2 linked regions of the Yarrowia lipolytica genome follow. The protein of the gene in region 1 interacts with the protein of each later gene in a pairwise test. Links are inferred from orthologs where the notes say so. Each region holds a gene or a part of one and is shown on either strand. Other genes may lie near its edges.

Region 1 (3,355 bases):
AACGATAGAGCCCGATAGCTAATGTCATTATTTATGATTGAGTTGACATTTCTTTAGTAGAATTGACGACATATTGTAGATGAACCGGTACCGTATGTAAAAGGAATCGGCAAGCGATTTCGGTGATCGTTTTCGGCGCCTAAAACAAAGAAGAACACAGCAGCGAAGATACAGAGTTGCCCATTGTATTTGTCTCGTCGAGAGCTATCAAATCATGTCAAAAAAAGTAGCGTCATTCTCCACCATTGTTCCTTTGATGGTTCTTGCGTGGTGATGGAGCCTTCAGAGGCTCGACAATTGATCGTGTGCGGCTTCTTCAAAAAGATTTAACATTCTGACCTCGTTAGTATAGGTCCTCAAAAAGTGGTAAGCATGAATATATATACTGATTTTTTTGTATCTATTGTACTTGCACTGATTATATAATGCCACAATTTGGATTTTCTCATCCTCTGACTATTATTGAGAGAGATAGGGAGTGTATTGTGCCACCCTCAATACTTATGGGATCCAAGTAAATTCTGAATTTTAGTTGGGATATTACTGCAGATTCGACGGTACAGAAAACAACCATATCATTATATATGTATACAAATATCTACTACCTATTCAGCTGGGCGTAGATGTTGGCAATAGGTGTCCCTCAGTATCCAGTGTCATGCAGCGTACTCGGACTCATATGAGGGATATGATCGAGTGTTGGTAGAAGGAAGGGTCTCATTACCAAAACGAAAAGGCGAGTGTGACACATAATCTTGCCCAATATCCGTGCTCCCCTTTCATGTGTTTCCCATTCGACATTTGAATAAGTTCTATTACATGACACTGCCCAAAATGCTTCCCACGCTTCCATCCAACTCCTTCTTGCCCTCCTTTGCTCTCGCACTGTGGGTCTTGCCCTGGTAAAAGTCTCGATGCACCTTCTTTGCCGGCTTTTCCTCCGTCTCGCCGCCCTCTTCCTCCTGTCTCTGTCGTCGTCGCTCGGCAGCCTTGGACTTCTCCAGCGACTGGATATAGGTCTGGTTCTCTCGGGTGGCCTGGGAGATTTCGGTTCGCAGACGGGCCTGTCGGTTGTGAGTCTCCTGGGCCAGCTGCTCAGAAAGATCGCTCCACTTGAACTTGGGAAGGTATTTGGCGTTCATGATATCGTCGTAATGCTGCGAGCCCTTCTTTCCTCCAATCGTGTTGCCGTTGAGCGTGCTGGCACACGTCTTGGCGTACCGCTTCTTAGTGAACTCAGCCCAGCCCTCAGTGTATGCCAGAGCTCTGTTTCCACCATGTCTGATTCGTACCGCCTGCGCTTTGGGGTCCTCGGGAACCAGGTAGATTCTGTCGACGATTCCGAACCGCTGGAGCAGCATTCGCAGCTTGCCGGGGTCCATGAGCGGCGGAATTCGCGAGAAGTAGACGACACCGGTCTTGGCGATCTTCTTGTTGTGTTTCTCAATCTCCTCCTTGGTCATAGGCTTGGTCTTGGCCTTGGTAGAACTAGTCTTGACGGGCTTCTTCTCTTTCTCCTCCTCCTCCTCCTCTTCATCTTCTTCGTCCTCTTCCTCATCGTCGCCGTCGTCAGTCTTTCCAGCTAGCTCAAAAAAGTCTTTGGTCTTCTTCTTGGAGGTTCGGCCCTTCTCTTCTTCATCCTCGTCTCCATCCTCCTGTTCCTCTTCTCCCTCGCTATCAGAGTCGGCCAGCACAAACCGCGGGTCGACCGCCGGCTTGTCCTCCTCCTCCTCGCTGTCGCTGGAGTTGTTTTTCGTGCTGAAAAAATCCACGGCTTTTGCTCGAGCCATTTGAAAGAGTCGTATACTTGTAGCTGATAGTTGTTCTGGTCGCTGCACGAAAATATATTTCCCACCTGCATTTACTTCCAATCAAGGAACTCAACCCTAACCCCATCTTACCTCATCTAACATCGGATATGAGAGTATCGTAATAGTCATATGCAGATTCTGTGGGGTAACCAGAGTCATATAGAGACGCTATCACCACCCAGAAACCACCGAGCATGAGCCTCCGACTACTGACACGTGTCGTGGTGACACAGAAACAACACTGCGTGTCCTTCCACACTCTACAGCCACAGTCATACACCACCACCAAGGGGCCCTATGAAGATGTGGAGGAGCCCAAGAAACGGCGGAAGCGGACGGTCAAGAGCGACACGGAGCCCAAGAACACTGACCCGACACTCGCCGAGGCACGTAAACAGCGCACCGTGCCCACAGCGGCTCTCAATGAAGAAACACAGTCGACGGGGCCTCCTGGAGGAGAGCCTCCTCGACGTGCGGTGGCGCCGGATATGACGCCCCGGAAGCTGCTGGCCAAGCTCAACCAGTTCATAGTGGGCCAGGACCGGTCCAAGAAGGTGTTTGCGGTGGCGATCTATAACCACTACCTCCGAAGCGGCCTCCTGATTGACGAACGACAATGGAGCGACTACATGAAACGCATCAACGCCGCCAAGGGCAAAATCTCGGACCGCTGGGAAAACACCGACGAACCACAGTCGACAGACTACATCAACGTGCTCAAGGAGGAGTACGATGAGGAGACAGAAAGTCAGGTGATTCCGGACAAGGCCAACTTGCTGGTGGTAGGTCCTTCTGGATCAGGCAAGACAATGATGGCAAAGACTCTGGCAAGTTTTTTGTCGTTGCCAATTTCCATTTCAGACTGCACTGCGCTCACCCAAGCCGGATACGTGGGGGACGACGTTCAATCGTGTGTTCAGCAGCTGTACCAGGTCTGTGGAGGCGATGTAGAGAGGTGTGAGCATGGTATCATCGTTCTGGACGAGATCGATAAACTGGCCAAACGGGAAGGATCTGGAAGAGATGTCTCTGGCGAAGGAGTACAGCAATCGCTGTTGAAAATGCTGGAAGGCACTCTTGTACAGATTTCTGGAACCCCAGGAAGAGCCCAAACCACCGCTGGTCTTCCGGGAGGAGGTTCGGCCATGCCCAAGGAGAGCGTCACAATCAACACGCAGAACATTCTGTTTATTCTCATGGGTGCCTTTGTTGGTTTGAGTGACGTGGTGTCAGCTAGATGCAATACTTCTTCCGATATCGGCTTTGGTGCCCATGTCAGGCAGACTGGTGAGGATGAGGGCAAGCAAAAGGACAGTCAGGACAAGCTGGTGACTCTTGCTAACGGCGAAACCGCCAATGCTCTGGATTTGATCACTTCTGAAGACTTGAAAAAGTATGGTCTCATTCCCGAGTTGCTTGGACGGGCTCCAACGATTGTCAAATTGAATCATCTGACCGAGGAGGATCTATTGCGAATTCTGATTGAGCCCAAGAACGCTCTTGTGGAGCAGTTCCGAGTCAAGTTCAAGTCATTTGGCACCCGT
Region 2 (3,842 bases), on another chromosome or scaffold:
ACTACCATATGAAACACTTTTTCTCCAGCCGTTGATCAGTAAATATCGATGTCGTGCAGTTCATGAAGATGCAGATATGTTGTTGTACATCTCATCTGCAGTTAGATGAATGTTAATTTTTTAGGTGACCAAAATGAATATGCGAATGCATGAATTCTCATCAACACAACGATCAAGATGAACCAACAATGGGACGACAGCCAACTCGTGGCGACCTGGGATAAGGCATACGAGGAATATCTCAAGTACCATAAGAAGAGCACGACGGAAGGTGCAGTGATCAATGAGATGAGAACCGACAAGGAGCAGAAGGAAATGCCAGAAGAGGATGATGATGCGGATATGAACGACACAGCCGACACAGCTAACAAGTTGTTAGAAGCTGCTGAGATATCCAACATTTCTAACGACGAAACCTCAATGGCGAACCCAGGATCCGGATCGGCATCGGCACCCACTGGACCTTCTTTGGATCATCTGGACGAGAGTGTTCGAAGTCTAGTCATGGCTTGGTATTGGGCAGGGTACTACCAGGGATTATATGAAGGTAAGAAGTAGGGGACCTGTATTCATAATTCTATATACAGTGCACTCCACACAGCATATCTAAACTCATTCCGACCCAATGGCACTCCATAAAATTGATTATTTATTGCTTTCTCTCACACTCGTAAGTGTACAAGTATATGTACCGTATCATACAGTAGCTACTTATTACCTACCTACTACTCATATTTGTAACGACAAGTAGTTGAGGATGTCCGCATCGCCATTAGATTCTAATATATTGTAATAAATGCACTTTTTTTTAGATGGATCCTTTATTTCTTGTCAGATTTGCCCTTGGCTACACGCTTGGGCTTTTTGTTCTTGGACTTCATGTCAACGTCCAGTCCTGCCTTCTTTCTCTGGATTCGCTTTCGCTCACCAAAGTTCTCGGCCTCCATGTCCAGAACGGCCTGTCTCTTGGCAGTGGATGCAGGGGTGAGATACTCCTCAACGACCTTGTCGTCTTCGATCAGATCGTACTTCTCCATCTTGGTACCCACTCTCTCTTCGATGTTCGTCACACGAGTTACATCTCGTTCAGTGACAAGAGAGACAGACTGGCCCTTTCGTCCTGCACGGGCAGTTCGACCGACTCTATGAATGTAATCGTCAGCATCTGCTGGAAGGTCAAAGTTGATGACCATCTCCACAGTAGGGATATCAAGACCTCGAGAAGCAACATCAGTGGCCACAAGAACTCGGGCTGCTTGGGCTCGGAATCGTCCTAGAGCGTTGACTCGCTCCTGCTGTCGCATCTCAGAATGAAGAGAGGCAGTCTTAACGTCCAGAGCCATGAGCATTCGTCTCAGGGTCTCTGCAGTCTGAGTTCGGTTGACGAAGATGATGGCAGACTTCTTCTCGTTATCTGGATGAGTGAGGATAGCCCACAGGTAGGCTTCTCGTACGTAACCAGGTAGGAATAGATATGACTGGGTAAGAGTGCTAGGCACGGCAATGTCTGATGCAATCTCGTGGATGAATGGCGGTCCCTTCTCACCGGTTCTGTCCTTCAGAGCTCTAACAGCGTCGGTAACAGTGGCTGTGAACAACAAAGTCTGACGCTTTGAAGGATCGGGGAGAAGGTCCATGCAAGTTTTAAGGTCAGGAACGAAGCCAGGAGTCAGCAGTCGATCAGCCTCATCCATAACTACATATCTAACCCGTCGGAATCCTCGGATGGTATCCTCACCACTGCTTCGAATATGATCAGCCAGACGACCAGGTGTGGCAATGACGAAATGGGGCATCTTTTGAAGTTCCAGACTCTGCTTGACCATATCAACTCCACCGTAGATGAGCGCGACTCGAATGTTCATGTTGGCTCCAAGAGCTGTAAACTGCTCCGCTATCTGGATGGCTAGTTCTCGAGTAGGGGTCAGAACTAGACCAAAAATACCACAGGGATCCTTGGACCATTCAGCCAGCATGGGAGCAGCAAATGCGATAGTCTTACCACTACCAGTTCGAGCTCCTCCAATGCAGTCCTTTCCCTTCATGATCTGGGGGATACAGGCTTTCTGAATAGCGGAAGGCTTGGTGATAGCCATGTTTGAGAGAGACTCATTTAGCCACTCTGGCAAGCCTAGATCGGTGAAAGACATTTTATCAGTGTTGGTAATCGAAGATCTGCTTTTCTGGTTACAAGTTTCAATTTTTTTCCAACGATTATGCTGGTCTAAAGTTTAACTTTTTAAAACAATCGGCTTAGTAAGCATAATTGATGGGGGTAATCGTTGAGATTGAAACTGTGTGCAAGCCTTTTATGTCATGATATATAACGACCAGCAACGGCCATTTTTTATTTACCAGCCTCATATGGTCATTGATGATCTTTAAGTGTGTCGTTTCATAGTGACTTCCTGAAAGTTTCATGCAACCACACTGGACGACTTGAAATCATCATTTCCAACACAACGGCATCACGACACAATGGGTATTACAGAAAGTGAGTACGAACAGAGACATTGATCGGAATACCAATCGCTTCAACACAACAGCGTCATTCATTACTAACTCAGACGAACCCACACCTCTACGATGTGAGTACACACAGATCGAGACAACATCATAGCCACAGCATTGACCATTGACTAACTCAGCCACGGAGGGATGGATCATCATTGTCGACAACCTACATCCAGAAATTAGTGAGGAGGATCTCACAGACTTCTACAGCACATACGGAGATGTCCAGGTAGCCCACGTCAACCTGGATCGAAGAACTGGTTACGCCAAAGGGTATGCTCTCCTCCAGTTTGCCACCAAGGACGATGCCGATACAGCTATTGCAGAGACTAACGGAGTTGAGTTTCTGGAGCACAACCTGGAGGTGTCGTTCGCCTTCCATGAAGCAGACACCTCCATTTCACAACATCGAATTCGTGGATCTGAGAATCGGAGCAGGAGTCCTGGACGAAGACGATAGGGTGAAGGCAATACACGGGGAAACGGCAGCCCTTAAAAATCATGTGTTTGTAAATCTATATTTATACCGATTCTATTAGATCTGTCCGTCTATGGAGACGAGTTGTAGGCGAGATCACGCCGAGGTCAAGGGGTAGCTCGACATAGAAGTCATTAAATAGTTCAGCAACACTGGAGTCTTGCGACATGTATAGCTTTCTGTATCCATAGAAGTGGCGATATCTTTTGAGGAGTTGTATGTTTTCTGCGTCTTCGTTGACGAGTCAACTCACTGCACTGGTTTAGATTCCACCATGCACAAACCCCGAAACCTAGTGTATACAAGTATAGTATGAGTACAGTACTGCAAAACACTGGTTCTCCACAATGTGGGTTTGGAGCCATGGTGAAGCGACTTGTGAGTATTAATGGAGAAGAGGGTGTCACACAAGGCTCTACGTGTCGGCTAAGTCTATCTGGCAGCTTCCCATCACTCAATTCTAACCATCAGACCATCTATTCCCTTCGGAATTCATCATAGGCCGTGATAAGAGTCACGTTCTCAACATGGATGGAAAATCCATCAGCCGGAATCATGTTCAGCTTATCATTGACAAGGACGACTCGAAATGTGAAATTGTCAGCATCAAGAAGCCTCGAATCGACACAGGTGTGTATGTCAACGGACTGCAGCTGAAATCTGAGGAGCGATTCTCGATACACAGAAGCACGACTTACAGGGTTCAAGTGGGGCGAAAGGAGGACTCATATTTCACATTGAAATGGCGACCGCTATCGTTTTCGTACCATGAAGATGAGGAGGAGACACTATTAAATGAGATTATCAAGGGGTCTGATATTAGGATGCAACGATACTTTTCAGAAGACAC

Evidence for each region.
Region 2: the proteins of YALI1_B05520g (region 1) and YALI1_E03163g interact in binary tests that used the Saccharomyces cerevisiae proteins (3 or more experiments, as listed by UniProt). The link is inferred for Yarrowia lipolytica from reciprocal best matches to the Saccharomyces cerevisiae genes ESF2 and DBP8.

The regions. Positions count from the first base shown.
Region 1 is NC_090771.1:550,240-553,594, forward strand, and holds YALI1_B05520g (uncharacterized protein), read right to left. Parts: upstream 1,791-3,355; coding exon 816-1,790; downstream 1-815. Other genes in the region: YALI1_B05522g (uncharacterized protein), read left to right, coding at 2,006-3,355. UniProt on the Saccharomyces cerevisiae protein: Involved in the small subunit (SSU) processome assembly and function, and in the 18S rRNA synthesis. Required for the early cleavages at sites A0, A1 and A2. Stimulates DBP8 RNA helicase ATPase activity.
Region 2 is NC_090774.1:314,701-318,542, reverse strand, and holds YALI1_E03163g (uncharacterized protein), read right to left. Parts: upstream 2,151-3,842; coding exon 822-2,150; downstream 1-821. Other genes in the region: YALI1_E03183g (uncharacterized protein), read left to right, coding at 178-558; YALI1_E03158g (uncharacterized protein), read left to right, coding at 2,479-2,494, 2,568-2,588, 2,649-2,974; YALI1_E03150g (uncharacterized protein), read left to right, coding at 3,340-3,370, 3,464-3,842. UniProt on the Saccharomyces cerevisiae protein: ATP-binding RNA helicase involved in 40S ribosomal subunit biogenesis and is required for the normal formation of 18S rRNAs through pre-rRNA processing at A0, A1 and A2 sites. Required for vegetative growth.